4 linked regions of the Elephas maximus indicus genome follow. The protein of the gene in region 4 binds, or shares a complex with, the protein of the main gene of each other region. Links are inferred from orthologs where the notes say so. Each region holds a gene or a part of one and is shown on either strand. Other genes may lie near its edges.

Evidence for each region.
Region 1: STRN (region 4) and PDCD10 share a complex: the UniProt entries of both Homo sapiens proteins name them as parts of the core of STRIPAK complex. The link is inferred for Elephas maximus indicus from reciprocal best matches to the Homo sapiens genes STRN and PDCD10.
Region 2: STRN (region 4) and STRIP1 share a complex: the UniProt entries of both Homo sapiens proteins name them as parts of the core of STRIPAK complex. The link is inferred for Elephas maximus indicus from reciprocal best matches to the Homo sapiens genes STRN and STRIP1.
Region 3: STRN (region 4) and STRIP2 share a complex: the UniProt entries of both Homo sapiens proteins name them as parts of the core of STRIPAK complex. The link is inferred for Elephas maximus indicus from reciprocal best matches to the Homo sapiens genes STRN and STRIP2.

The regions. Positions count from the first base shown.
Region 1 is NC_064841.1:33,488,944-33,496,867, reverse strand, and holds the start of PDCD10 (programmed cell death protein 10), read right to left. Parts: upstream 3,004-7,924; 5' UTR 2,842-3,003; intron 1-2,841. UniProt on the Homo sapiens protein: Promotes cell proliferation. Modulates apoptotic pathways. Increases mitogen-activated protein kinase activity and STK26 activity. Important for cell migration, and for normal structure and assembly of the Golgi complex.
Region 2 is NC_064821.1:171,316,509-171,324,440, forward strand, and holds the start of STRIP1 (striatin-interacting protein 1), read right to left. Parts: upstream 3,001-7,932; 5' UTR 2,977-3,000; coding exon 2,797-2,976; intron 690-2,796; coding exon 617-689; intron 1-616. UniProt on the Homo sapiens protein: Plays a role in the regulation of cell morphology and cytoskeletal organization. Required in the cortical actin filament dynamics and cell shape. Part of the striatin-interacting phosphatase and kinase (STRIPAK) complexes.
Region 3 is NC_064826.1:20,707,206-20,715,132, forward strand, and holds the start of STRIP2 (striatin-interacting protein 2), read right to left. Parts: upstream 3,002-7,927; 5' UTR 2,963-3,001; coding exon 2,837-2,962; intron 1-2,836. UniProt on the Homo sapiens protein: Plays a role in the regulation of cell morphology and cytoskeletal organization. Required in the control of cell shape. Calmodulin-binding scaffolding protein which is the center of the striatin-interacting phosphatase and kinase (STRIPAK) complexes.
Region 4 is NC_064844.1:27,388,804-27,396,370, reverse strand, and holds the start of STRN (striatin), read right to left. Parts: upstream 3,008-7,567; 5' UTR 2,913-3,007; coding exon 2,679-2,912; intron 1-2,678. UniProt on the Homo sapiens protein: Calmodulin-binding scaffolding protein which is the center of the striatin-interacting phosphatase and kinase (STRIPAK) complexes.

The sequences.
Region 1 (7,924 bases), on a different chromosome or scaffold from region 4:
AATATGACTTCAAAGAATGAAAAATACAATAAAACATTACTGCACCACTCCAGGAAACTCTGGTGGAGTAGTGTGGTTAAGAGCTACCAATGCAAGCCAAAAGGTCAGCAGTTCAAATCCACCAGGAACTCCTTGGAAACCCTATGGGACAGTTCTACTCTGTCCTATAGGGTCACTATGAGTCGGAATCGACTCAAAGACAACAGGTTTGGCTTTTTTTTTTTTGGTTTGCACCATTCCAGCATAGATGAAACATCAAAACTATAATCAACCTTAAAGATAAAAAGAAGACAAAGTGGTAGAATCGAACTAAGGCCAAAGCCAACATACAATGAAATACACCAACTATGTTATACTTAATTTCATTTAACTTATTTTCCAAGTTTTCCTGACTTATTCAAAAGCTCTTTTAGTTCCATGCAAAAAGTTACAATCACTTCCTACCTCCCCCAACAAAAAACAAACGTCATTTTTACCACCTAGAAAATACACTAACATGCTTGTTTTACCGTCACTGACTAATGCTCAGTTCATGGTCTGCTTAAACTACCTTTTTAATATTTAGCACAGTTTCCTCACATAGTTTTCCATTTGTTTAGCTGTTCTGCCTTCCCTGTGTACTACATTACTCTAGGTACTACATTATTCTGGATTTTACTTCATCTGTAGGATCATAACTTGCTTCTATTTTAAAGATCACATTAATTTCCAGACCACTTTAACTTCAACCATAGGGGAATATAATACATTGTTAATAATAAATTGTAGAGTGTATTAAAAATTCAGCATATTTTAATGATCAATTTATAAAAAAGCCAGCCATGACTGGTCACCTGCTAACTATAAAAAAACCAAACTTGTTGCCGTGGAGTCAATTCTGACTCACAGCGACCCTTCAGGACAGAGTAGAACTGCCCACAGAGTTTCCAAGGAGTGCCTGGTGGATTCAAACTGCCGACCTTTTGGCTAACAGCCGTAGCTCTTAACCACTATGCCACCAGGATTTCCGCTGACTATAACTAGGTATCTAATTATTGGATAAACTTATTACAAAGAAATTCTGATGTCAATGAACTTAATCCTGACATTCTATTAAAGAACTATTCAATAATAATATTCATTTTTTTTTTTTTTTTATAACTGGTCATAACAACAATCACAGGGTGTAAGACTGGAACGAAGGAGCCCTCATGGTACATTGGTTAAAGCGTGTGTCTGCTAATTGAAAGGTCTGTGCTTTGAGTCCACCAGCTACCCCGAGGTACAAAGATGTGGCACTCTGCTTCTGTAAAGATTTACAGCCTTGGAAACTCTATGGGGCAGTTCTCCTCTGTCTTATAGCGTTGCTGTGAGTCAGAATGGACTTGATGGCAGTGGGTTTGTGTTGGGAAGACTGGAGCAAGCACACTGCTTTCTGCTTGATATGAAACATAAGCATCCTTTTTTTTTCTTTTCTTTTTTCACTCTCTAATGTAAAATAAGGACAAATTAAAAGAAAAATCATAGGAAAAGCATATTAGATCCAGATTTTATTATTTAAACACACACAGACCCAGGAATATAAAAATCCCAAGCAGGAAATTTGATGTTACCTCTGTGGAAAGCAATGTATCTCCCTTACTTGTATCGAGCACACTAAACTCTCTGGATACTACCTTATTTGAAAAAAGTATAAAGTAAGTTTTATGGAATAATTCCAATACCACTGTCGTCAGTTTTACAAAATAAGAATAAAAATAGTCCTAAAATAAGAAATGAAAGGAATGTTCTTGTAACTAGGATGTAATATATTGCTTAGTTGACATTCTCTTATCTCCTATATACCCTTTAAAATGGAATGTGGTAATAATACAGGCTATAAATTTATCATTTAATATACTTCTAATAATAAGAAAAATATGTTAAGTTGAAACTGATTTTTAAAAATTTTTCTCAAAGGTCAGAGTGGGCCTTTCCTCTAGACTGAGGAATTTCACCCCAGCTCAAAATTAGTAACTCTTCACCTCACAAATGACTTCTTAGAAATAACTACGATACACTACTTCGTAACTTCCTCCACCCTGCACCTTTTTAAAAAGACACATCCAACCTCCCTACTCTTTCTTTCTTGAGAGGCAGTTCTGACTCAGAAGCTGGACTAGAACTGGACAAGATCTGTCCCTACGTGTGTGACACTTATTGCCTCAGTTTCTTCATTAGCAGCAGGATGTGAAAGTACTTTGAAAACAGTAAACAGGTAAACATCTTAGGTATTACACATAACAGGGTCAAGCTTTTCTACTCAGGGCAAAATTGCTCCTTACAGAAGCCACATCAAGAAACTGGAATTTAATCCGTGGGTCCCCGTCAACATTTGACCCGTCCTTATACAGTTCTCTTCTCTCAAAGGGCATAACCCGAGTCACCCCTAAGAGCAGCCTCCCATACACTCCTTCCTTCCTCCACTCCTCCCCATCCTACCTCCAAAGCAGGGGGGAAACAGCAGCCTCATCTCTCCGCCTCTAGCCACACCTTCAGACGACCCCCCCCCTCCCGGCACATCCGCCCTCTGCCCTTTCCCGGGGCACCAGAGGCCAGCCTCGCCCTTCCCCTCCCGCCCCCACCTAGAGGAAACTTCCTGGAGGCGCTCAGGCCCAAGCCCGGCAGGCGGCATTTACAAACCCCCTTTACGCCACTCGCGTAGGGTAACCTCACTTACGCCCATAGGGCCCCGCTCCCAGCCCCGTCCGCTCCGCCTGCCAGAGGCAAACCCGAGTGCCTTAGCCCCGGCCCCTGTGTGACCCAGACCTCTTCTGCTCCGCTCAGACCTACGGGGACTGAAACAGAACACCCACACCTTACCGGCAACTGGGGCACTGACTCCGCTTCCCACCTTTGGAGCCCTCTTCAACTCCCGGATCAATTCACTCCGGCGACGCCGGAAGGACCCGAGAGGAACCAGGCGTTGTCCGGAATCCTGCCCAGCCGGAGTCGCGCAAGGGCGTATGGGGACTCGTAGTCCCATCCGAGGTCCTTGCCGGCAATTCCTGAACTCAGACGACTACAGTTCCCGGCAGGCCATGCGGAGGAGCCTAAGGCGATGGGTGGGGACACTTCTAGCCAATAGTTAAAGAGTTCCCTGCCTTTGCAGTAGGTGAGATGAAGAGAAAGGGTGCACGGAAAGCAGAGGAAGGGCGGGGTCAGCTCTCACCTGCGCCAATCAGGGTGCAGGGTTGCCCCGCAGGCAACTCACCCATTGTGGGGGCGGGCTAGCAGAGCAGAGGACGGAAGGGAGGGAGGGGCCCAAGGTGGGGAACGTGGGACTGCTTGTATGGGTATTCCGCGCGGGCTGAGAGGCAGCCCTGGGAAAGTCATCTCGGCCAAGGGAAGGCGCGGTGTGGAGACGCGCCGCGGCCCGAGGAGCAGCTTCCTCGAGAACAGCCGAGTTCCAGGCACTCCGGGCTGCCGGAGCCGCGGGTCGGGGCTGGATAGGCTGAGCTCGGGCTGTCCGCGGAGGCTCTTGGGCGGGGCTGGAGGCAGCTCCAGGTGTGAGGCCACCGAGTGAGGGGACAGGGGTCTCCAGGGACAGGCAGCGGCAGAAGAGCTGCAGAAGTGCAGGAGCGGGAGGTACCCGGGCAACGGCTTCCCGCCGCCTGCCGCCCCGGCTGCAGCAGGAACAGCAGGGGGAGGAGCAACAGCTGCCGAATTCGCCAACTAGAGGAGGGGGAGGCGGAGCTTGGGTCCCTGTAGAAGCTGAAGGCGCCGCCTGGACTGTAGTTGCCCGGGAGAGACGAGAGCAAGAGCAGGAACAGGAGCTGAGCGCGGTCCTCGGAGCATCAGCTCCATCATCCCGCGAGGGGTTGCAGGTGTGTGGGAGGTAAGCGTGGGTGCTTCTTCCAGGCGTCCACACACTGCAGGGTTTTACTGCCCATGAAAAAGCCTCTTCTATAGGAATTGTGTCAGGGCACAGCCAAGAGAGTCTCTGCCTCAGGCTAGGAAACCGGTGCAAACCCTTTTGAGTGAAAGACGTACATTTTTGGACTTTAAGGGGAAAAAAGCAAAAGGTGGCTAGACCCTGGGCATAAAAGGGCGTGGTTAGTGTTTTCAGTTGTAGCATTAAAATTGTTCTGGGAGATTCCAAAATTGAGGGAAACCCTGCTGATTGAGGACAAGGTGGACGATAATCTGGATAGGTGCGTAGCTAGTAAAAAGCAAAAATGTCATTGATACAGAATTACTTCAGAACTCTTCCACTAAGAAAATAAGTTTGCATTCTTCTTCAGTGTCTGCCCTTTAATGTTGGTTTATCAGGTTGTCCTGCTCCGACCTGTTTTCCAGGGTGGTTGTACTGCAGGTTCCTAGAATTGAAAGAGATCTGTGTTAAGGAAGCGAATGCAGGCAGGAATAATCAGTATGACTGAACGTATCAGAAGTATAACTTTTGCCAGCAAACATGTAAAAATGTGTTTTAATGGGTGGATACTTAGCTTTCCTTCCAGTGGCTCTGGAATATTGAAACAAAGACCCGGACTCAGCCTACAGTGGGAACATATAGCGTACTTCATTGCTCCTTATTCTTTCATTTGTGTCCGGTAATATTTGTACATTTAAAAAACAAAAGTACAAGAAAAGCTGTGTAAGGATCTCTCCTCTGTAGAGAGTGTGTACTGAGTGATTGCCCTTAGTATATGTTGTGATGGCTTCAGACTTAAAAGACATGGAGGGTCATAAAATAATTCACAGTATTAAATCGTGTGTAAATCTTTGAATGTAATTACATGCTGATGGACGGAAATACGTTTTAATATTAGGCAAAGATGGAAGTTGCCTCTGTCTTTTTATAACTGATACAATTACAGCTGTTCTTTTCAGAAAAGTATGTAAAAAGATGTTTGCCTACTTCATTTGCCTTTTTCTTTTCGTTACAGAGGTTCCCCAGATTACATGGCTTTTAATCATGGTAGCATATTGCAGCAGAGTTTGCTCTGAAATGCCTTCATTGTGACAGTTGTATATTTCAGAGAGTCTGTCTGAATACTTTAATCTGGATTTTCTTGAGCTAGGGCCAATAAAACAGAATAATTGCTTTCTGTTTTCTTTTTCACACTTTCTTGCTTTACTTAAAATCAAAAATCAGACCCATTACAGTCGAGTCAATTCCGACTAATAGAATTTTATTTTTCTAATGTGCACAAAATTCCTTTTTGAAAAGACAAGGCTCAAAGGAGTTCTATTTGTAGTTTAACATTCACTCCTATAAGTGCTTAATAGCGTAAGTGACTTAACAATATATATATACTCCTTTTCAGCACCCCCTCCTGCATTCACACACCAGAGAAATATTTAAAAACAAAAAAAAACAAGAAAGAAAGAGCTGCTTTTAGATTGTCCAGGAGCAGATCAGGTGTTAGAAGAAACAGAGCTTTGGAGAAAGAAAAAGCAACGGCAGCCACCAAACTTCGTAGCTATTGTAAGGATCAGATTTTATCTTTGCTACGTCACAGGACAGCCTCTTAATCCACGTAGTTGATTATTTGATGTGAAATGATTTTAGGGGAGAAAAAGGAATAGGGTATAGTGAGGTTTAGAAAAGATTGTGTTTGCCCTTGTTGTTTGTGATTAAGTGGATTGTCCTAAATCAGAGTCTTAGATTCTCTCTCAGTCTCTGCTACTGATTGATTTTGTGAAATCGAACAATTACTGTCACTGGCTTATTTCCCCCATGTAATAATAATAATGACAGTGAAGTTTTTTCAGAGTGCTATTAAAAGATCTTTTGGAAAGCATTTGGTTGGGAAAGCAGTTAATAGTCAAGCAAATAGGGTAGAAAATAAATATCAGAAGAGTTAAGATTCAGATGAACTTTGAATTCCAACTACTTACAGGCCTTTTGTTCTCAGCTGTCATAAAGGCTAGAATCTTATCAGGAATGAATGAGTTTGTGGTATTCAAATACTAAATGTTTTGCCTGTTTCCCAGATTCGTATCTTAATGTGTCAATGAAAGAGATTGGGTTCTTGTTTATCATTTAAGAGTAGAAGGACCATGCTTTTATAGGGGAGAAAATGATTGCCAATGTATACTACATGGGCATTTATCTATTACCTTGAACTCTTAACACATTTTAAGTTGATGTTTATACCAAATTTCAGATTATCTAAAGACTTCTGTTGACTCTACCAGTGTTGAGACAGTTATTATATGGCAGTTTATAATTTTATTTAAAGCACTCCCTAGGTTAAAAGGGTATTATTTAGTGTTCTTGAGTTTTACTAGTTGCGTATACGTATCAGGGAGATTGGCATGATACAAAAAAACCTGTTCAGAATGTCTCTCTTAAATGGAAGTTTCTCTGGGGATTACAGTTCTTTAGTCAAAAGACTTTGTTAATTTCCAGTTACATTATCTTTTGGATTGTTTTTTAAACTAAAAATTCTGACTCAAGCCTATTGAGTAAAAATAATTGAGTAGCAGGGATTTCTCTTTCTAATGAGGATTCACTGATTCATGCAGGACCGAAGAGCAAGACGGTTTTGGTGCATGTAGAGGGGGTGCCAAATAGGAAGAAAGTTGCTTGAGGAATATACCCTTAGCAAGAGAGAAAAGAGATTTGACTTTTTTGTTAAGGGACTTCACCTTTTCTTTTTTTTTTTTTTCCCTAATCATTAATTTCTATAGGCATATGTCCAAAGTGGGAGACATTACTTTCCTACATTGTCATTTTAACTAGAGTCAGGCCAACATGAATTCATTGCATTTTGAATAATAATGGATCATTAGAGCAAAGCAGAAAAGACCATACATATATGTGTTCACTTCCATGTGAAACATATTATTTAAAGCAAAAAGAACAAAAAACCTAAAATAATGTTTTCCCCTTTAATAATAGAGGTACTTGAATCAGACAATAATGATGAACAAGAGCTTCTTTGGGGGGGCCAGGGGGCCCTTTTTATTTATCTATTTTTTAAAGCAAACTTCTAAGGTTAGACACTGTTTTGAGGATCAACATTTATCATTATGTAAAGATAAAGGTTTTATTTTTTATAGTCTTGCCTCTAATTTTTTCAGACTTTGGAACGTATTTTGACTAGATTATTAGCTTCTTGAGACCATGTACTTATTTTCTATCTCATGCAGTACCTCACATAACACTCAACATAAAGAAGTTGCCCTATATCCACTTACTGAAATTAGAAATATTGGCCAGTATTTCTTCGATGTACACATTGAAACATAGTTTGAGAGACAAGAGTCAATCAATCCTATAGAATATTTCCGAGAATTGCTTTGTGCTGCTTAGCCTTTGCAGAAGTGTAGATGGAGGCCAATTTGATTCAGGCTGTGGTGGGCTGCAGACTCATCTACGACTCTGGGTTCCAAAGTTTCTACATCCGTTCCTGAGATAGAGAGTATGTGCCAGGAGAAAAGGCCCCCCAACAGGTGGAACCAAAGGGCTGTCCCTAGCTCATCACCATTTTACCTCAAGTTCCTAGACACATACCATTTTTGAAGCTTGATTATAGGAAGAAAATTTTATTGCATAAAAACTGAATTTGCTCTTCCATTTTTCTAGTCATTCCTTTAAAAACAGGAAAGAAGAAAAAATCCGATGGTGCTTAAGCATATATGGAGGTGGGCATTTATTTATTTATTTTATATGTGATCTTCCAGAAACAAATTATCCTTATCAGTGTTAGAATTAAGAACTTGAAGATATTTTTTTCTTTTGTTATTATGAGACATGGAGAATTTTAGCAAATTGTAAACAGTTCTTTATTAGAAGTAAAAGCAAATAATAACAGATATTTACCTGGATTTTGTTTGGTTAATTTTAAAATACCTTTGCCAGATGCTGATGGATACAGGTTGACTTAGAAATGATCATTCATCTCCCTTCTTCACGTTCGTTTGGCACTACTCTTAGCAGTGATTAGAGCGCTGC
Region 2 (7,932 bases), on a different chromosome or scaffold from region 4:
GCTTAAGCTGGCCTCACATCACAGGTGTGCTGCAGCAGCAGCGATGGGTATGCACTGACATAGTCGCACTTGCTGGCATCCCTTGTGACCCACTGCCCGAGGACAGATCACTGCTGGGGGATAATTTATGGAGAGAACATCACTAGCTGTCCCCACATTGGGACTGAACCCTACAGCTAACTGAGCTGACTACACACAGATGCTTCATAAAAGTGATGGGCAACCCCAAGTCATGAGACACTGAAGGCTTGAATTAAATTACTGTATTTTTACACAAATAATGCATACCTTCTGTGTTTTTTTTTTGCCAACTGCACACTCCCTCTACCCCCTACCAGGTATTTCCATAAGCACACTACGCTACCTTTTTTTTTTTTTTGACAGCTGAAAATATCTCCCAGGGAAAGGGCAAGGCTGGCAAACAAACATAGAAGGCACGCGTCATTTATGTAAAAATACGGTTACGTGTTTTATATATCTTATTAGTAGCACTAATTAAAGAAAAAGAAACTTCCAAAATATATTTACACTCTTAATTTTCTGAAAGAATATATCGATAAGGAAAAAAAAAATCTATTTCTTCCATTCCCAACCAATACAAAGTTCTGTGCTTTACCAGAGAGCTCTGCAGCCCACTTGTCTGTGTCTGCATACTCAAACTCAAGGTCTGGCGACTCGGAATAGCCCTGCTGAGAAAAAGAGAGAGCTTTATGCAAAAGATCATTCCGAGCATTGTTAAAAGAAAGAGACATATGCTCTCCAGACACAATGTTGTGTTATAGAACATCACTGTCTCCACTTTTTTGATGTTTTATCAAAATACTTTGTTTCCTGTCCTAGCTTATGAAACCAGGTGTCATCGATTCTGACTCATGGCGACTGCATGTGTGTCAGAGTAGAACTGTGCTCCGTGGGATTTTCAATGGCTGATTTTTCAGATGCAGATTGCCAGGCCTTTCTTCTGAGGTGCCTCTGTGTACACTCAAACCTCCAACCTTTCAGTTAGTAACTCAGCACATTAACCACGTGCATCACCCAGGGAACCCTCTCAGAGCATCTTATACTTTTCCCTCATAGCACTTTTTCGGTGTCAGAATTTTTGTTTAGTGTCTATCTCTCCAGGAGGGTGCAAGTTCCTTGAAAGCAGGAACTTGTCCATTTTGTTCACCAAAGATTTCACAATGCCCAGCAAAGTACCTGGCATGAATGAGTGAATGAATTAATAGTTTATGTCTCAAATAAGTGCTTGTTAGATCAGTGAACACAAAGCTTCTCTGTATTTTGTGCACTGAATGACCACTCTGCACGGTGCTAAGATTCTGGAAGTCTCACGTCTTTCTGGCTACTGGGCTATCAGCAGCTCAGGACAAAGTGGGTGTTGAAGCGCTTCAGCCTTCTTGTCCCTCTCCCCAATTTCAGTGAGAACTGACAGACGGAAAAGGCAGCAGCCTCACAGAATGGCTTCCCTCCCCCACACAGAGGAGAATTCGGCAAAGGAATAGGTGATTATTAAGAAGACACCATCTTGAGAGGTGCATTTTCACAACCCTCCACACCTAAAAAGGTATCAAGTCCTCGCCATGGCCCTCCCACCACCCCACCATGCAAGGGTTCCTGAAAGGTCAATTTCTTTGATTTTTAAACAATTCACTTCAAGCTCAGGGTACCTCTACTTTGGACTTGCCAAATTTTGACATATTTTACCAGACTTTAGGACCGTCAACAAAAAACAGAAGTCTGCGAGGAACTGATTTCACAGGTCTAAAGATAGTATCATCACTCTTTGGAATGACCCGATAGTTTTTCTTGGACAATGATGAATTCTTGCTCATAAATAAGAGCCTGACCGCTTGATCAGCTTCCTCTGAGTTGTCTCAGGTGAAGCCGACCTCATAGTAAGTGCCTGGGAACATGCTGATTAAGAAGTCCTAAAACGCTGCCAAGTGTGTGTCTTCATTCATGAATTCTACAAAAGGAGGCAGTGGGAGGAATTCTTTAACTCGGGGTGAGGTTACGAATCGACCAGCTCCAGACTAGAGGATTACAGTCTCTGGTACTGGAGGAACAGCCCACTAGCAAGAGGGGAGGGGGAAGAGGAGCCCTAAGGAACGTTGAAAATGTACATTCCTGATCTTAACAGTTCAGCATCAGGCGCACTGAGCACAGCAGCCACCAAACACTGTCACATCATGGCCTGAGCCTGCTAAGGAGAGAAACAGGGAGTGTTACTCCCTCCCATTCTTGCAACCTCTGGGAGCTAGTACTATTAGTGATAATTAGCTCCGTCCGGCTTCAAAGAGCCTTTTAAACACTGGCCAGTCCCTTCCCTGCCCACACACGCGGTCCACAGCGCGCTGCGGATCCACCGACCCGGCGCCCGCGCGCCTGGGATCAGCAGCCGAGAGACGACGATCAGGGGATGGGGGCGCAGCCACCTTGGCCCCCTAGAGAGCACGAAGACCGCTGACTCTTCACCCGCGAACTGGGATGGGGAGCTTTCCCTAGGGGCTGGGTCCCCCAGGCAGCGCCCACAGCCCCGTCCCAGAGCAGCAAACCAGCGATCACCCGGCTCCGGGCGGTTCTCCCGTGCGGCAGGGATCCGGGCGGGATCCCGGCTTCACGCCCCCGGCCCGAGGGGGGTGCCAGCCTTGCTTCCTGCTTCTCTCGTAAAGTGACAGCCTCCCGGCCAGGCCCGTCGACCGCTCTAGGAAGCGAGCTTAGACCCCAGAGCGGCCCCAAGTCCAGGACCTCCACAGCCGCCCGCCCGATGCCAGCCTCGCCCCCCGAGCTCCCGACCTCCGAGTCTTTGCGCTGGTTGCGGTTGAACTCTCGGGCTTTGCCCCCGGGCAGGAGGCCCCCGCCGGCCCGCGGTGCCCCAGGTGGAGGCTGCGCGGATGCGGGCGGCGGAGGTGGCGGCGGCTGCGGCTGCTTGTTGTTCACCATCATCGGGATTGGGCCGCCGGCTGCCGGCTCCATCTTGGCTGCTCCACACCCCCGGCTCAATTCTCGGACTGTCGCCGTGACCCAATTCTCGCGTGATTTCCTCCAGGAACTTTCCCTGGTCGCCATATTACGTGTGGCGGCAGGCGCTGGACGCCATCTTGACTGCCCGTCACCTCGCGAGATTCCGTTTGCCTGAAATATTCTTTTCCTTCTCTGCGTTTTTTGTTTCCACGTCTTCCTTCCAGTCCCAATTTAAATGTCATTTTTATCTGTGAGGTCTCCCCTTGGCTCCTTCGGTTAGTTTAGTTTGCCCCCTCCATCGCTGTAACTTCGCTTTGCACTTACCTCTGTTATAGCCCTGTTCCAGGCTTTGGGGATATAGCGGTGAACAAGATGAACAAAGTCCTGGTTTTCCTGGAGTGTACATTCACATGGGGACAGACATACACTAAACAAACAGATGAATAAATAAAGCAGTTACAGTAGTGAGAAGTACTAATTAGTCATTCAACAAACTTTTAATGAATATTTCCTCTGCTCCATTTTTTCCAGGCAGTGGGATAGAATGGGAAAAAAATGGGAAGCAAGTCAAATTTTTGCATGGGTACTTACATAGAGCCTAGTGGGAGAGGCACGCAAATAAACATAACAGGGAAAAAAGTACTGTGAGGAAACAAAAAAGTGTAAAGGATTAGAGGGTGAATGGTGGCTGGAGACTGGGGAAGGGGAAATGCGACTATTTTCAGTAGGCTGGCCAAGGAAGACAGACATGAAGATACACTTTTAATGAGTTCTGGAAGAAGTAAAGGTTCATGGCGGTAACACGGGTAGAAGGACCAGCTACGTGTCGGGGGCCCTGAGGTCATTGTGGCTGGAACAGAGTGAGTCCGGGAAAAAGTGGAAGGAGATGAGGGTCAGATGAGGCAGAGCCTTCAAAGTCACGGAAAGGAGCTTCGATTTTAAGTGAATCGGAAAACTATCAGAGGGTGTCAACCAAGGTGGTGGCATGATCTGATGTTTGAAAGACCACTCTGGCTCCTCTTGGATAAGGGATTGGAGAGTTGAGAGAGTAGATGAAGGTAGGCAGGTTAGGAGGCCATTTTAATGGAGATGATGGCAGTTTGGACTAAGGCTGATATTTCTATATTGTGTAGGTAGAGTTGAGAAGATTTGCTGATAAGCTGGAATGTGGAGGATAAGGCACTGAAGAATAAACGATGAGTCCTAGATTTTTTATTTGAACAACTGGGTGGATGGTTGTCTCAGTTATTAAAATAGGGAAGCCTTAGAGAAAGAACAGGTTTTGGGGAAGATTTTTGTTTTGGACATGTCAAGTTTGAGATGCTCATTAGACATCTAGGAGGTGATATGTAATAATTACCTGTTACTATGTTGTGACATGCTTGGAGACACCTTATCCATTTTTGTCTCTCCAGGACCAATATTGTCCCACCTAAACCAAAACCAAACCAGTTGCCGTCGAGTTGATCGAAGCGACCCTATAGGACAGTGTAGAACTGCTTCATAGGGTTTCCAAGGAGCAGCTGGTGGATTTGAACTGCAGACATTTTGGTTAGCAGCATGATCTCTTAACCACTGCACAACCAGGGCCCCATTGTCCCACCCAGTAGGTGCTTAAAAAGCCTTTGTTGTAAATTAATAAATCCAGAGCCACCATGTTGCTGTTTTCTCCTACCTACCTTCCTGTCCTTTGCCCCAGTTCCCTCTCATATCCAGTAATACCATTTCTAAATTAGCATTTCATCCAAGCTGAACGGAGCCAACTTTATAGGAAAAACTAAGGAATTTACAGGAAAAGGACAAATGTTGAGAGACTTCTTAGATAAAATCGGTAATCTCACACAGCCCAGCATGCAAGCAGACATCTAGTTTCAGTGAACACAGCTTGGTCAAGTTCTAAGACTGACTTATCATAAACTCTATCACCTGGAAAATTATTTTTTAGACCTTCCAATGCCCTATACCGTTTCAACTACATTCAGGAAAGGGGAAGGTTTTGGTTCAGTAATTCCACTTCCAAGAATAGATCCTAAGAAAGTAATCACATATTTAGACAAAGATATATGTATGATGATGTTACCAGCAGTGATACTTTCAAACATGAAAAGTTAGGACTAACCAAATTTGTGAAACAGCCAATAAGAAAGTGGCTAACTGAATAACGGGTATACATAGGATAGAATATGGAGAGACCACTAATATTTGTGCTTAATAATACTAAGAAGAATTTTTAAAGACATGGAAAAATGCTGTGATATAATTGAATACACAAGTGGTTCTGCGTGTGTGTGTGTGTATAGAGAAGAGACTGGAATGAAATACACTGACCTCTTAATAGGTTTTATCTCTGAATCGATGTGATAACATATGTGGCAACATAGGTTATTTTCATTTTCTGTGTACTTTCCTGTGTTTTCAAAATTTTTATATTCAATCTATTTTAACAGCTTTGTTGAGCACATGTTTAAGGTATAAAATCTGGTAAGTTTTAGCATACAAAAACACCCATAAAACCATCACCACCATCAAGATAATGAACATAGTCATCACCCCAGAAAGTTTCCTTGTGGCCCTTTGTAATTCCCCCCCACCCATTACCACTGCTCCCATTTCCAGTCAATCACTGAAAAACTTTGTTACTATAGATTAGTTTGCATTTCTACAATTTCATATAAATGGAATCACATATTATGTATTCTTTTTTTTTTTAGCCTTTCATTCAACATAATTATTTTGAAATTCAAGGTATCAAAGCTCATGAGTAGTATTCCATTGCTTATCTAGTCACCTGTTGATGGACATGTGCATTGCTTCCAGTTTTTCTTGCTTGTTCAAATTCAATATCCACAGGTAACACGGCTTTTTTTTTTGTTTTTTTTTTTAAATAAATGCTTGTGTGGTAACTGGACTAACCCAAAAGCTAAGAAGTTTCCTGAATACAACCAAACACTTCAAGGGACAGAGTAGCCAGGGCTGGGGTCTGGGGACCATAGTTTCAGGGGACCTCTAGGTCAACTGGCATAACAAAGTTTATTAAGAAAATGTTCTGCGTCTCACTTTGGTGAGTGGCATCCGGGATCTTAAAAGCTTGTAATCGGCCCTCTAAAATATATTCATTGGCCCCAACCCACTTGGAGTAAAGGAGAATGAAGGAACACCAAAGACACAAGGGAAATACTACTCAAGAGAAAAAAATGACCACATAAACCAGAGAATCCATCAGCCTGTGACTAGAAAAACTAGATGGTGCCCGGCTACCACCAATGACCGCCCTGACGGGGAACACAACAGGAAGTCCCTGACGGGGTGGGAAAAAAGCGTCACATAAAAAGACCAGACTTAATGGTCTGACTGAGACTGGAAGAACCTCTGAAGCCATGGCCCCCGGATGCTCTGCTAACCCAGAACTAAAACCATTCCCAATGTCCACTCTTCAGACAAAGATTAGACTGGACTATAAAACATAAAATAATACTCCTAAAGAGTGTGCTTCTTAGTTCAAGCAGATACACAAGACCAAATGGGCAGCTCCTATCTGGAGGCAGGATGAGAAGGCAGAAAGGGGCAGGAGCTGGTTGGATGGCCACGGGAAACCTGAGGTAGAAAGGAGGAGTGTGCTGTCACAATGTAAGGACTGCAGCTAATGTCAAATAACAATACCTGTATAAAATTTTGTAGGAGAGATTAACTTGAGCTGTAAACTTTCACCTAAAGTTAAAAAAAAAAAAGAGAGGCTTCTGTGGAAAACTTTCCTGAATGAAGTGCTGTGTCCCCAAGCTGTGACCAGGTCATGAATTCTAAATAGAACTACTTAAACTGGCACCATTTTTGAGTCCCAGAGAGTCCTCACTTTACCTGGCAAAAGCTCCTTGAACTACGCTTCACTTGGCATCTGGAAGGAAAAATAATCCCATAGGAGAGGGAGCCAAACATGTCCCTCTTTTGCTAAGAAGCTACCAGAAAAGCACAACTGAATAGAGGGTAGAAGTTACAGAAACATCTTCAGACTTTTTTATTCCTTCTTTCCTTATCTGTCAAATAGTTCTACCTGCCTTATGAACTGTGGATTAGATGAGTTAATTTATGTGAAGTCATTTTGGAAACTGAAGCATTGTTAAAGAGAGACAGAAAGAGAGTTGTTGTTAGGTGCCATCGAGTTGGTTCTGACTCATAGCGACCCTATGCACAACAGAACGAAACACTGCCCAGTCCTGAGCCATCATTACAATCGTTGTTATGCTTGAGCTCATTGTTGCAGCCACTGTGTCAATCCACCTCGTTGAGGGTCTTCCTCTTTTCCGCTGACCCTGTACTCTGCCAAGCATGATGTCCTTCTCCAGGGACCGATCCCTCCCGAAAACATGTCCAAAGTATGTAAGACGCAGTCTCACCATCCTTGCCTCTAAGGAGCATTCTGGCTGTACTTCTTCCAAGACAGATTTGTTCGTTCTTTTGACAGTCCATGGTATATTCAATATTCTTCCCCAACACCACAACTCAAAGGCATCAGTTCTTCTTCGGTCTTCCTTATTCATTGTCCAGCTTTCACATGCATATGATGTGATTGAAAATACCATGGCTTGGGTCAGGCGCACTTTAATCTTCAAGGTGACATCTTTGTTCTTCAACACTTTAAGGAGGTCCTTTGCAGCAGATTTACCCAATGCAATGCATCTTTTGATTTCTTGACTGCTGTTTCCATGCCTGTTGATTGTGGATCCAAGTAAAATGAAATCCTTGACAACTTCAATCTTTGCTCATTGGTCCAGTTGTGAGGATTTTTGTTTTCTTCATGTTGAGGTGCAATCCATACTGAAGGCTGTGGTCTTTGATCTTCATTAGTAAGTGCTTCAAGTCCTCTTCCCTTTCGGCAAGCAAGGTCGTGTCATCTGCATAACGCAGGTTGTTACTGAATCTTCCTCCAATCCTGATGCCCTGCTGTTCTTCATATAGTCCAGCTTCTCGTGT
Region 3 (7,927 bases), on a different chromosome or scaffold from region 4:
CAGAGGATCTGGTTGCAAACAGGCCTGCGGTGAATCCTTTTGTTAGGTTAAGAATCTTTTCACTAAGGAAACAATTATTGTCTAGCTTCCTTTCTAGGCTGAGATTTTCATACAGTAAGCCACTGGGAGAGAGGAGGCCAAAAGTGTCCCTGTAAAACCGGCGGTGTACAAGGAACAAGGCTTATGCCATCAGAAACTCTCTTCTAGTAATTACTGAGAAGCCCAAGGGAGGAAAGAAAACCATCTTCCCTGAGGACTATCTTCTATAAAAAAAAAAACTATAGGAAAGCAAAAAGAAGGAGGGAAGGGAACACAGATAGTCATCTGAGCCTGGCACCTGGGTGCTGTGGTGACAGGGGAGGTACTGACAGGTAGAAGCAGGTCTCCTGCTGCAGCGAAAGTGGAGGGAAGCTAATCTTCCCAGCCAGCCTTTTGGCAGGCAATGACCACAGATAGCGGTGATCACTGCAGTTGCTGGTTTCCAGGCATGCATGGGAAGTGCAGCTGCGGGCAGTCAGGAGGTAACTGCGGCGCAGGTGGAAGGCTCGGAGTCCCTGGGTGCGGAGCTCATGCAAAGTGGGGACATGAATTCTTGTCTGAAGGGGCTGCAGCAGTTAATAGAGATGATATTTGTAAAGTATCTGGTATGCTCATGCAGTGCCATCAGTGCCTGGTGCTGAAGGAAGGCTTGAGATGCACGGAAGAGGCTCCTACCTCAGAAGGGCGATCTGGCACCTATCGCTCTGAAATTATTTTGATTTTTTTCCTTGAATATTATCTGCCTCCCCCCACTACTGTTTGTTCCACAAGGGCAAAAGACCTTGTCTTGTTCACTGGTGTATCCCTAGCACTTAACACAATACCCAGCATATAGAGACCAAACCAAAACCAAACCCATTGCCGACTCCTAGCAGCCCTATAGGACAGAGGAGACTTGCCCCATAGGGTTTTCAAGGAGCGGCTGGTGGATTTGAACTGCTAACCTTTTGGATGGCAGCCGAGCTCTTAACCACTAAGCCACCAGGGCCAAAAGAACTCAATAATTGTTGCATTAATGAGTTAACTAACCCCTCAAAAAAAAATTTTTTTTCCCAGCAAGAAAAATGTCTCTGTGAAAGGAGGCACAGGGTGCCCTAAAAAAGCCAGGTTGGTTCTGAGGCAGGGGGTGGACAATGTGGTAGACAATACACTGACCTAGCAAGGCAAAAGGGCTCCTGTACAACCAAGCTCTGTCTCTGCAAGGTGATGTGACTTTGGGCCAGTCTTTTCACTTCCTCCACTTCTATTAAAAAAAAAAAAACAGAGTGGGTTCCTACTATGCTTATTATGGAAAACAGAAGCATACAGAAAACCATTTTGTTAACTTTAAAGTGCTATTCAAATAATTAGCTGTAAATGACAAAGACCTGGCTTCTAGTACCACCTCTGCCACGTGGTGGTGGTGGCAGTGATGATGATGACAATGATAGTAATACAGTACTAAGAGCTACTACGTACTGACCAATTACATCGTGCCAGCATGATTTTAAACTTTTTCCATCCAATTATCTCATTTTAACTTTATCGCAACCTTCTGAGGTAGACAGTGTTAACTCCATTATACAGATGAAGAAACTGGAACTTAGAGTGGCTCGGTAATTTGCTAAAAGTCACACAGATAGTAAAGGGTAGGGCTAGGATTCAAACCCTGGTCTAACTGACCAGGAAGCTGGTGCTCCTGGCCATTACACCAGATGTATGATCTCAGGCAAGTCACTTCTGTCTCTTCCATCTGTAAAATGAAAGGGCTACACCAGATGACTCTACAGACCCTTTTATATCTGACATTTTGTGGTTCTATTAGCTTGATCCATGCTCAGATTCAGTTCTACTCTTGCCTATTTGATGAAAACTGGCCTGTTTGCAGGGTGAAGGGGGGTGGGATGACAATTATTCACTTCTTTCATCTTCCTAGTTAGGATTTCTTTTCAGGAGAAGAGGTAGTACCCAGTCTCCTAACTGTGGGTTTGAGTCCTGGGACTGTTCCATCCAAATACTCATGTACAGCCTGGCCTAATCCTGTCTTGATTAACCCTTACAGGTGGGGATCCTCACGTTTGTGGACAGCACCTCCTAAAGAGCCTAACAAGGCAGAGAGGAAGGCCAGCTCTGGGACCCTGTGGAGCCTTGGAGGAGGGGGGCGACTGCCCCCCAACTCCGACCCCTCTATTCTGAGGCTGAGCTCTAGCCTCCCCGCCGTGGGGCCAGTCACTTCACCAGCTCCCTCGGTTTGTCCTCAGTAAAATGGGAATAGGAGCTCCTCCCTCAAGGGGCTGCAGCGATTGACTGAGAGAACATCGACGAGTGTCTGGTACTCTCCACGCGCTACATCTTCGCGCCCCGGAGGAAGGCCAGAGACTAGAAAGCCCCCGACCCGCTGCAGGAGGCATATGGAGGGGGTCACCGGCCGCAGAGCCCGAACTCTAGAACCCCGCTGGCGCCCCTCGAGGGGCCCCGGGGCGGGGTGCTGGGGCCTCAGGGAGCCGGGGTCTCGGGGCCGGGGCGAGGGGCCCGGGGTCTCGGAGCACCGGGGCGAGGGGCCCGGGGTCTCGGGGCCGGGGCGAGGGGCCCGGGGTCTCGGAGCACCGGGGCGAGGGGCCCGGGGTCTCGGAGCACCGGGGCGAGGGGCCCGGGGTCTTGGGGGCCGGGGGCGTCGGGGCCCGGGGCCCAGGGTCTCGGAGCACCGGGGCGAGGGGCCGAGGCTCTCGGGACGCCTGGGACCCCGGGGCGGGGGAGGGGTCGGGCAAAATCACCTCAGCCGCCGCGTCCCGCCCGCGGTGTCTCCCCGGCCCCTCACCTCCGACTCGCGCCGCTGGCTCCGGAACGCCTCTTGGCTCTTGGGCGCTGCCTGCTTCGCCTTGCCGCCGTTGCTGTTGCCGTTGGCGGGAGGGCTCCCGGCCCTAGCGACAGCCGGCTCCTCCATTCCGCCCTGCTCGGCGCCCTGCGCGCTCTGCCTAGGGCGCCCCTGCCGCCGCGCGCTGCGAGCCCGACCCCGCCCCTCCGCAGCGATTGGCTGAGGCCGCTCGCCGCAGCCCCGCCCCGAGACTCGATTGGCTGTCCGGCGGCTCCGAGAGGGACTGGGACGAAGTGGGGCTCATTCAAGGGATACTGCGGCGTCGCTGGGAGCCGGAGCCTGGGGGGCTGGCTCCCCGCTCCACCTCCTGAATTCTGGGCCTTGAGCTCACGCAGGGTATCTCTGTTTCTCGTTTCCTGTTAGGGGAGCCCTAGTTTCCGTCTCCTGCCGCACTGCAGTCTGCTTTTCCATTATCGCAGACCCCTGCCCCTCAAACCCTGGCTCCTGCAAGCGTCCCAAATCCCGCTTCTGTCGCAGGGAGACATGGCACCGCCAGGTGGCCGGGGATCCTGCAGAACAGGAGGATCTCGGCCTTCATCCTCCCTGCAAGCTGAAATTTTTGAAGGGAACGCATCACTCCCCTCCCCTGAAGCGACGGCTTGGCTGGGAGACTAGGGAGCTGCGGGGTGGGGTCACGTTTTTAGTTTACAGAGATTGCTGAACGCTCTGGAAATTGAGGGCTGCTCCTGGTCATCTCTCTGCTTTTCCTTGCTGTTCTGGGGCGCCTTCCTCATGGTGTGAGTTAGGGAGTAAATGCTGAATGGAGATCAAACCACTAACCCCACTGGCTTCCCAGCCTTTTCCTTCCTTTTCCTCTCCTTCGTAAGGCTCGGGGTTACCGGGAGGGCGTGGTGGGGGGTGGGGGCAGTTGAGGCTGTGTGGACTGCCCTCTTTCGAATTTACCTAAAAAGCAACTTACAGTGAACATCTAGGGCAGTCTAGATTGGTCATAGGAGTCCCCAAACAACCCCCCAGAGGAGAATGGGTGACACCAAATCACCATCCACAGCCAGGAAGAGGTTGTGGGGGGGACTGCTGAGCTGAACCGCCCTCTGTGCCAGACCCTGCACTAGGCACTTTCTAGGTATCATATCATACCTCTCTCTCATAGGTTGTTTTCACTAACCTAATGTTACTTATGAGGAAACCAGGACTCACTGAGAACAATTACTCCTTGCAGTTCCCAAGGTATCTTACTCTTTCTTGTCTCAGTGTCTTTGAGTATGCTGTCCTGTCTGAGGGAAACTTTCTGTACTCTTGGTTGACTCCTTCCTTAAAGGTTCTACGGAGGCATCACTTCCTCCTCTGGGAAATCTTCCTTTGACCCTCCTCAACCCACTCAGGCTGGGCTGGCATCCTGCCTGGATTGAAAATCCTTACATTTTCTCCAAAGCAAGGGCACCAAAAGAATTACTCTTCCTTCTCATGTCTTGGGGACAACTCTAACCCATTCCTAACCATATCTCTCCCTCATGCTTCCCTCTGCTAGTCTGTAGGGGACAGATCAAGGCAGAGTTGAGAAGGGGCACTTCTTACAGCTATCTGGGTTCTTTTCTTTCCCTGCTCCCCAGCATCTCCTTATTGTACCCACCCGTTTCCTTTTTCTTTTCCCACCCCCCACTCCTCTATCATCCCACCCCCGCAAACCTGGATATATAAACTCCTTGAGAGTAGGGCCAAGTCTTGCTCATTTTTGTATGTTTCATTTCTCCATGTTAAACATATGGCTTCTTAATTTCTGTACTGTTGACATTTTGGGCTGGATAATTCTTTGCTGTGGGGAGCTGTTCTGTGCATTGTAGAATGTTTAGCAACATCCCTGGCTTCTGCTCACTAGATGCCAGCAGCACCTGCTCTCTCTGTGACAACAAAAAAGTCTTCAGACATTGCCAAATGTCCCCTGGGGCCAAACTCTTCCCAACAGAGACCCACTAGTTTAGTAGAATCAAACTGGTTTGAATTTCAAAAAAAGGCCCTGGCTCAAGGCCTAAGCTACTTGATTTTGGAATTTCTGGGGGATGGGGGCATAATCTGCACAACTCTTAAGAGATGCATGCTCTGCTTTAAAATTCACAGCCCACGCCTAGCTCATCACTGCTTTAGCGTGGTAAAACCTGCCACAGCACAGCCCATGGGGGCTTCTTAATAAAGAGAATTAATTATTCTACCTTCCCTTTTCCTAATACCTCTCTTCCTAGCAGCCAGAGCTAGGACTGATGGGCTGAAAACTTCACATTCTCTATGTGAACCTAGTCAACCAGCAGGACCCCCAGGAGAGACAGCAGATAGGAGGGGCCAGTTTTGAGGCTTTTTTCTTTCTCCTGCCTATCCTTGGGGAGAGTAATTTTCACCTGGGAGGAGAGTTGAGGACCCTCTCAAGTCCCCTCTGGCCTTCATCTCTAGCCAATTGCTGAGCCTAGAGCTCCATCTGGCTTCACTTTTGAAGAGATTTGAAAAAGTGGTGCTATGGAGACTGCAAAGAATCAATGGAGGAGAGACCTCACTCCATTATCTTTTCCACCCCCTAGAGGAATGGGAGACAGTAAAGATCAGACAGTCTGCTCATTCATTACAGACCCAGACTTTCAGAGCTTGTCATAAGATAGAAGGCATCTGGAAATAAGGCCTGTAAGAAATAACAAGAAACCAGAGATGAATTGAAAACTTTGAAACTATAGGCCATGGAATTGGCACGTACTCCCTTTCTTTTAGCTTATTTGTCAAGAATGACAGCCATCAATACTATTGACCACAGAGGCAGCCATAAATATATATCTAAGAGCTAATTAGTCAGGCCCTGGTCTACAAGTCTTGCCATCTTAGGGATGGCTCCAGTGCTGTTAATTTTAAGGCAGATGGACCTGCACTGCCAATTTTCTTTGTTCCCCAAATTCAGGTATTCTGAGCCCACTGGCAGAGGATTGTAAATAGGTATAATTACAAGGACCAAACATATCTCTTTCCCTCATGTAAACACTCTAATCCATGGGGATCAGAGACCTGATTGAATAGACTGTACCTGGCACTGAGAAAGTGTAAAAATATGATGCAAGTCTTAAAGGACTTGGTTTGTGAGGCTATCAGGCAGTGAGGATAATGTAGTAGAAAAAGCATAGAACACCCTCATCCACCATAACATGCATGTGTGGATGTAACGAGGCAATGGAAGCTGCAGGGCCCTGGAAGCTGCAGGGCCCTCTACTGAGGCGAGGAATTTCATGACATCAGTCGTTAAATCCTTACTCTAGGAGATAAGCACCATCCATTTTGCAGGCAAGAAAACTGAGGCTCTGAATGGTCATATAATTTGGCCAAGTCACACGATTTCAAACCTAAGTTAGTCTGGTTCAAAGTCCAACCTCTTTCCACGATACTGTGAAGAAATTGCACAATAGTGGGCAGCCTGAGCTTACCCTGTGAGTCTGAACCTAGGACCCAGGACACCCAAGGTTCCATCCTTCACAGGAGGCAAGCTCTGTTGTAGCGGAGCAGGCCTGGGTGTTAGCTGCTGCATCCTCCTCCTCTCAATTGGAGTGGTACCAGCTTTGAACCATTACCAAGGACCCAGACTTTTCAGCCCTGAGGCCCTTGAAAAAAAAGCCCTTAGCTTAGGTAAATTCCTGTGGCAGAGGATTCTGATAGGGAAGGAAGGGATGTAGGTAAGCATCTTGCATGTAAAATGTAGAGCCAGTTTAGGTTGTTGACTAAAGAAGGTGGCTACTCTACTGGTAAAGAAGAGACAGCTGGATTCATCCTCTAGTTTCTGATTGAGTCATGCAACCTGATTCATTTCTTTCTTCCTCTTGGTTGCATGTAGTCAGGTCCTGAGTGTCAGGGTGCTCTGGTCCCAAGCAGTGGGGATGCTGGCTTCCTGTGCTCTCCAGTTTAGGGCAGCACACACAGGAACTGGGAAACTTAGAGCCAGGCATTAGTATCTCTGTCCTAAACAGTTCTCAACTCCCCAGGATGTTGGCTCTGAGAAAGCAGGTCCTTTACACAACACAGCCAGAGAGGATTAGGTATTAGTGGAGTGCACCCCTACCCCCACCATGGAGTAAGGGTCTCAAGGCTAGGGCCATTCAAACATGCCTGCTGGTAACTGCTTCAGCTTTTCCCATCCTTTCCCTACAGTAGGCTCGCTAGCCTGTTGCCCATAGACTTCTCACATCTCTGCTGAGTTCCTAGTTCACAGAAGCAAGGACTACACTCAAAACCAGAATCCATTTTGGGAATATTTTATTTGTCTTTTGAGATTACATGGTCATTATTGCTGATCTATTACAATTACTCAGACATAAAGATTTCCAAGAGCCTCTCAGAAATGGAGATCCTCAAGGCTTTATTTCCTTTCAGTATGACGATAATGAGAACTAATGATTTTTTAATATATATATATAATATATATATGTATATATAGTTCAGAACTTGTCCATATATAATTTGCTGGTGTTGCCTATTTTATTTCTGTAATTTTCCTTTATTAAAAAAGCTTAATGCAACAATGCATTCTGATTTCATTTTTAAAACCATGATTAAGTTAATTTTGAGAAAACCACAGGAGCAGCAGTTTCAGATCTGTTCAGAGAAAAGTCAAGCAGCAAAAAAGCTTTGCAGGAGTATGTGGCCATGGGGAGCCGTGCTCAAATGGGAGGGTAGGATAGGGAGGCGGGAAGGTAGAGGGTAGTTAGATCAGATACTTTTTTTAATGAGAAAAATAGAACTGAATATTCCTATCAAGAAAGTAAAAAAAAAAAAAAAAAAACTCAAAAATTAGCACAAATTCATTGTAGAGAAAACGGTATGTATGCCCCACAGGCCAGGGCTACACACAAAGAAACAGGGATGAGCTATCTCTCCCATGCTTCCAGATACCCAGGATGCATCCAGATACCCAGGTCAGAGCGTGGAGGGAAGAAGGGACATTTGCTCTAATTCCAAGGGTAGAGCGAATAATGACCGGATTCCAACACTAAGGTAGAACCCAAATACTCAGGAGGCCGCCTTCTTAATGGCTGATGGATCCAGAGAGACAGA
Region 4 (7,567 bases):
GACAGGTTCCTGAAGGGACAAATTAGACTTAAAGTGATTTTTGTTGACTTTGATGTTAATGGCTTGAGAAGAGATTTAAAAATTAAAACAAAGACATCAGCTGCTTCATATTTCATCGCAATTCATTCAACTCTTTTACAGCCTATTGTTTTTCCAGGAAAATTCCAATGGCAAAAGGGAAATGTTCAAATTTAGTGACGTTGGTAATTGAAGAAAGAAACACTTTCAATTATACTAATAAGGGAGACTCAGGCCACAGATTCCTGCCAACCCTCCCCCCTCCCTACAAATACATACTGTTTGAAAAAATGACACTGTTTAAAATTTTCTCTGCAGAAGCTTAATTTAATTTGATATTTAAGTAGACTTCTGTTCTCTGACCACGAACCAGAAGATACTGTAAAAGTTGTACCCTTAATATGATGGGGATTATGGGGAAACTTACCTAAAGTTCAACATTTGACATAAATAACCCAGAAACATATGTCTCTGTGTCTGTGTCTAAATTTTAAGATTGACCACCAAAACCAAAAAAAAAAAAAAACCCATTGCCGTGGAGTAAATTCCAACCAATCCTCTAGAACATAGAACCATCGGGTTTCCAAAGAGCAGCTGGTAGATTTGAATTGTCAACCTTTTGATTAGCAGCAGAGCTCTTAACCACTGTATAACCAAGGCTCCTTTTTTTTTTTTAAAGATTGACTACAGCACAGATAAAAAGTGTAGACATGGGGAATGGGGAGGAGAGAGGGGAAAGGATGGGGTGGGTTGGAAGTTCCCTAACTTCTACATGTAGGAAGGAAAGTATTGTTTTCTTGATTGCTTCTGACCGAACTAGTCTGACTTATCTCACATTCCCTAAACTGAAAAATAAATTAAAATTTAAGCAGCTACATACAATTATTTTCTTCAACATCAAAGTTAAATCACCCCTGAAGTCTGAAATCCACAGGTTTATTTACAGATTGTACTGCTAATAAAAGTGATGGTATAAGCAATCAAATCTGCTGATTACTTATACCGTCAGACTCATTATTATAAAAATAACAAACACGAAAAGACCAAATACTGTAGGGATGAAAAAGCTGACAAAGAATATATAAACATATAACCGTAGAAACTGTAAAAGCAGAATTGTAGAAATGGAGTCACTCTTGCTTCACTTAACTGCTTATATGTCATCTCCTCTGAGAAGTCTTCCCAGACCACCCCATCTAAAACAGCTACCCCATCACACTCTATTTCTGTATCCCAATTATTTTTCCTCATAGTAGTTGCCACTACAGGCCATCTTCTTGCCCCTCTCCCCCCACCCCCCCCATCTGCCTCCTGATTAAAGGCAAACTCCATGAAGGTAGAGGCTTTGTAGGTCTTGTTAATCCCTGGGCCTAGAATCACATAGCCAGCGCTCAATAAACATACTCTGAATAAATTATGAAAAGGAAGCCAAAAGTGGTTAAAGGATTTCCTCAAGGTCACAGTAGTAAGCACAGCTCGTACTAGAACCTGTCTCCTCTTCTCAAAGCCACTTCCACTACACCAAAGGAGACCATTCCAGCACATGGTTCTATTTAATAGATTTCTCCTTTTCTTTAAGTGCCAAAGAAAATGCACGTTACCAAACAAAGTGACACACTAGGTGGCATGTGAACTTCAAGTGTTTCCCCAACCAAAACTAGATTCATGTTTTGTAAACAGACAGGATTAGCCTATAAAATTGAAAGGTACAGCCATTCACAATTCTTTAAACTCCTTGTGAAATTTGTGTATGTCTTGGAATTTTCAAGATCAGCCACTGAAAGCCTACTCACCAACTCAAAATGGCCTGTAAAGTATCCGCCTCACTTTCATTCAACTATAAAAGCCACCACCGCTCCTCCCTGGATATACTTATCTTGCAGACTATGCATCAAAAAGCAATGTAACCAACTTTTAAGCCCCTGTAGTTCTTTTTAAAGTTATGGGATATCTCACAAAACAATGCAAATAAAATTAGCCCTTGGAAAGTTTTAGATTCTGAGAACAGGAACCATCTCTGAGCCACCATCTATCTGACTGTGATCATCTAAATCCTTCCTTCAAAATCCATGAATGTGAACTATCTCAAAGAAATGCGGGGGAGGGAGGAGGGGGTGGACTAGAAACATTTACATATCTAAAAAAAGTTAGTATTTCTAATAACACTTTTGCCTGAAGTCAAGGCCTTAATGACACAACTTGTTGTCTTTTTTGATCCCCTTCTTTTCAGAGAGCGGAGCCAAGTGCCAATACCCTTTGCTGGGAAGATCCCTAAGCCCAGGATGGGACACACCAGGATAGATGATTTGCTCGAGGTCTCTCAAAACTACTGTCAGCTCAATTAGTAAACTGAAAGGGATGACCTAAGATGCAGGATAGTAAGAGAGTTCGAATGAGACTGAGAGTTATGAGTGAGGAGCAGCAGGCGAAAAGCAGCGGGGAGGGTAAACAACGCACCAGGGGCGGGAGTGGGTACTGAGGTCAAGGAACGGGGGTCAGCGAAAGGCAAAGGTGAGGGGAGGACCGGGACGAGGTTCGGGTGGGATGGGCGGGAGCAAGGCGGAGAGGACAGGCGAGGGCCGGGGGAAGGAGGGGGCCGGGGCGGGGCGGTAAGGAGCGAAGAGGCGGGATGAAGTGGGCCAGGCCGGGAGGGTCTTTACCTGCAGCTCCGCCCGCTCCACCTCCCACTGGGCTCTCTCCACCTCGAAGCGGGCCCACTCGTGCTGCAGGAAGTGCAGGATTCCTGGGAGGCTGTACTGGGCTCGGGCTGCCCCCGCCGCGGCCGCCCCGTCGCCGGCCACGGCAGCCTCCGCCAGAGGCCCGAGCCCCTTGGCACCACCGGCGCCCGGGTGGTTGTTGCTGAAGAAGACGCCAGGACCCGCCTGCTCGTCCATGGCGGCCGCAGAAGCCGGGGAGCTGCCCAAGCGCCCAGCACCGGAGGCAACAGCGGCGGCCAGCAGCGCCTCCTCCTCCCTCCGCCGCTCCCCGCCCACACCCGTCAGCAGAGAGCAGCCGCCTAGGCGCGGGGCCGCCGAGCCCGTGACGGGCCGGGAAATGGGTCAACTGCGGCGCGCGGGCGGCGCGGGGCTTGCTGGGAAACGTAGTCGCGGAGCGCGGCGCAGGGCGAGCGCGGCGAGGCCGCCTTTCCGGCTGCGGCTGGGCCGGGGTGTGGCTGAGTCCCGCCAGCGGAGATGGGGGCCGCCGGGACGGGGAGTGGCGCTTTCCTCTCGGGCCGGCGTTGGGCGCCGGTAGGCAGCGCTCCAGCCTCAGTCGCATGCGGAAGTTCTAGGGCGGCGTTGCCTGTTTCATACACACATACACACGCGGAAGTTATCACGCCAAAAATACCAGAGTTGCACATCTTTTAGGGCTTCCTGGTAGTTCTGTTAAGAAACAAGCTCAAAAGCGAACTACCGTGATCGCGCCTGGACGGGTGTTCTCCACCCAGCTGACCAGTCCGTTCCCTTCGGCTCCGACTTGGGTGGTTCTCTGACCCTAGACTCTCCTCAGCTCTGGCAATCTGCATACCTCCGTCGCTTTGCCTCTTTTTCACTCGGAAGTTCAGACCTGTTTCCTGATCCTTTTTCACTTTTAAGAAGCTCTCGCCACCTCCCTCCTGTACTCAGCGCAGCAAATTTCTGCTTCTCTTTTCCAAATCCTGGTTTGTTGACACCTCATCTGAAAAACTACTGAAGTCCTGTAAAAGTTACAGATATCCAAGGCTTCTGGTATCTTGTTCTGCTTTTCTTAACCTTATCCCGCAGGTTTTTTACTCAATTCAACAAATTCTAGATTACTAGTTATATCCCACACCGAGGATGTAGAGATAAATAAGACATAGTTCCTATTATCAAAGAAAGATTGACATATGTATAACCAACTCTCACAGTACGTCAAAGCTACACTACCTGAAAGAACAAAATTCCCTTTCTGCTCCCTAAAGCTGTTTTAGGTATCCAGGCACTTCTCTTTTTTCCTTTGTCCCATTCCCAATTTCTTCCACCATTCACCTGCGAACTGGCAACAGTATTAGCCTACCAAAGGTACACCGAGTTCCTCTCCTTTTAAAAGTTTCTTTTTAATGTTTTTCTTCGCCAAAGTCTCTGTCATGTGACTACAAATTCACACTACAACGAAAATTGTTAACAAATGAAAATGTAATTGAGCCCCGGTACTGTCACTCTAACAAGTTATCTCTAATTCTTTTGTGGGATGAAAGTCTGCGATATGAGATCTGATGACCATGAAAAAATGTAAAGATATAGGCTGGTGAGTGACATGTAAGGGAAGGACATCCTGTCCCTATCCTGTCCTCCACCCCTTCCCATGAATCCTTGGGGGAAGGACAGGAAACACATTGTATTTATTCTGGTTGCGAATAAGGCATGGCAAGCTCTCTTCCCACAGTTATTGCATGTTTTTGCTTTATTATGATAAAAGATGCATCCAACCCTGGCCAAATTCCCTGTCATAAATTATTTTGACTTTTAGTGTCCTTTGAGATAGAGGCTAATCCTCTCATTTTACAGCCCAAGAAACCAAAGCCCAGAGAGGCTAGGAGACTTTTCCACAATGAGGCCTTTAATAAGTGGCACAGCCAAAAGTAAAACCCAGATTTCCTGACTGCTATTCTAGTGATCTTTTCATTAGCTCATTGCCTCCTCTTGTGTTCCTTATTAGACCTACCAGAACACAAAGGGGACAATTATGAATAACAGCATGCTTTGTCATCTGGGTGATTTAAGCGATCTTGTGGTTTTTATGAACTTTGTATGTTAAAAATTATCTTTTTCTCTAACATGTCCAACAATCCTTTAAATCAATAAATAACAGACTATAACACATAATTAAATTTAAACATAACCTGGACTATCACAGATATATAAAAACACTGTTTAAACTCATAGTGTAGTGACATTGCTTACAATACTATTATAGCTTTTTGCTTTTTAAGGACTTATGTACACACAAAATCAATTCTGTAATATTATGAGCATTTCTTTTTGCAAGAGACATTCACTCAATGTACCAAAATATTAGAAGTGATTATATTAAGGTAGAATTACAAAGAAAATTTACTTTACTTTTCTCATTTTCCAAAAACTTCTATAATACGATTTCTTTTTAACCAAAAAAAAAAAAATACTTTTTTAAAAAAAGGTCTTCCCTTGCAGTTCTTTTGCCTTGAATTGTTTTAGGAGAATGATTTCCTCCTATACGGAGGAAGGATAGTCTGGTGGTGTAGTAGTTAAGTGCTATAGCTGCTAACCAAAAGGTTGGCAGTTCAAATCCACCAGCTGCTCCTTGGAAACTCTGTGGGGCAGTTCTCCCCTGTCGTATAGGGACTGCGAGTTGAAATTGACTTGACAGCAGTGGATTTGGTGTTATACTGAAGCAGGGAGGCCGTAGTGGTGCAATGCTTAAAAGCTCAGCTGCAACCAAAAAGGCTGGCAGTTCCAACCCACCAGTCACTTGCTGGAGAAAGATGTGGCAGGCTACTTCTGTAGTTTTACAGCCTTGCAAACCCGATGGGGCAGTTCTACTCTGTCCTATAGGGTCACTGTGAGTGAGAATCTACTCAAAGGCAACAGGTATACCTAATCAACTTCTGAAACCATTAGTTTGGAATAATAATTTTCTTTTTTTCTTTCTTGTTTGTGTTTATCTGTGCTTTTCGAATTTTCTGTATTCAGTATGAATTACCTTTTTTAAATAAACGTTTTGTGGAGGTGTTATGGATTGAATTGCATTCCCCAAAAATATGTGTCGTAAATTGTAATCCCTATAACCTTGGTGGCACAGTGGTTAAGTGCTACAGTTCTACTCTGTCCTATAGGGTCGCTATGAATGGACTCGTCAGCAGCAGGTTTGGCTTGGTATACCTGTGGTTATAATCCCGTTTGGGAATGGGTTTTCTTATGTTAATGATACAGTATTACTGTAGGGCGTGTCTTAAATCAATCTCTTTGGAGATACAGATTAAAAAAGCAAGTGACCAAGCAGAGATGGTGGAAGATAGATACCAAGCCACGTGAAGATCACCAAGGAGTAGAAGCTCAGAAGAGACAAGGATCTTTCTTGACAGAGAAAGCCTTCTCCTAAAGCCAGCACCCTGAACTGAGACTTCTCGCCTCTCAAACTGTGAAAACATAGATTTGTTTGTTAAAGCCACCCATTTGAGATATTTCTGTTATAGCAGCACTAGATAAGATAGGAAGTGTAACAGAAAGCTTGACAAATGTTAAGTGAACACTTCAGTGAACTGTCACAAACTGTAACCACTACCCAGATCAGGACATGGAGCATTGCAAGCACCCAGGAGCCCCTCTCCATGTGCCCTCTCATTCACAACAGCAAGAATAACTTTATAATTAAAAAAAAAAAAAAAAGTTAAAAAATGAATGATTGGAAAGGACACGGCACTTGCATTCAGTCAAACCTGAATTTTCTTCCTGATGTTACAATTTTCCCAATCTGGAAACAAGGGCAAATGGTTCAACTTTTTTCCAGCCTCAGTATTCTGATTTTTAATATAGCCCACTACTGTCAAGTCGATTCCAACATATCAAACCTGTAGGGTTTCTAAGGCTGTAAATCTCTACAGAAACACACTGTCACATCTTTCTCCCACAGAGCCACTGTTGGTTTTGAACCACCAACCTTTTGGTTAACAGTTGATCACTTTAACCACTGCGCCACCAGGACTTCTCATGATTTTTAATATGGGAGCAACATTTACTTTATGGAGTTACTGTGAAGATTAAATGAGAGAAGACATGTAAATCCCCTAACACAGTGCCTGACATAATACACTAAAAAATGATAGCTGCTATTGTAATTTTTTTTTTTTTTTAATTGTAATAGAGTTCACAAGATCAAATGAAAACAACAGACTCCTGGCAAATACTACGGGCTCAGTGGTTGTTCTTTTTACCTTTTTCATTCCCTACTCAGAACTTTAATTCAGTAGAGTTAAAATAATCTTAAACATTAAGCCTCAGACCTCAGTGTTGCTGATTTCTTGATCTTTTCATTTTATAATTAATAATGCCTAAGTGACACAAAAATGCAAAAATGGGGTTCCCTTTTTAAGAACAGAGAACTCTCGTCAAAATGTTGATTTATCTATCAGTAAACCAGTTTAAAATTAAAAAATGGTGAAATGCTGATAGATTATTTAGATAATGGAGTGTTTGCTATTTTTTGGTTTATGTGTGTGTGCTTTGGTGGGGATGGGGATTCAGGTACAGGAAATTACTTAATAAAGCCCTTCTAGCCATAGTCATTGTGGCTTCCACACAATGATTGGGCGGGGCCACGCAAATAAGGAATATGGAACCCTGACAAGGTGTGGTGGTTGGAGTTGTGTGTCAGCTTGGCTAGGTCATGATTCCCAGTATTGCGTGGCTGTCCTCCATTTTGTGATCTGCTGTGATTTTCCTAATTATCCTCCACTATCTGATCTCTTTTTCTTGGGACTTGAGCCAGTGGCCTGCCATCTGACCAGCTGATTCTGGGAATCATCAGCTTCCACAGCCCTATGGGCCAG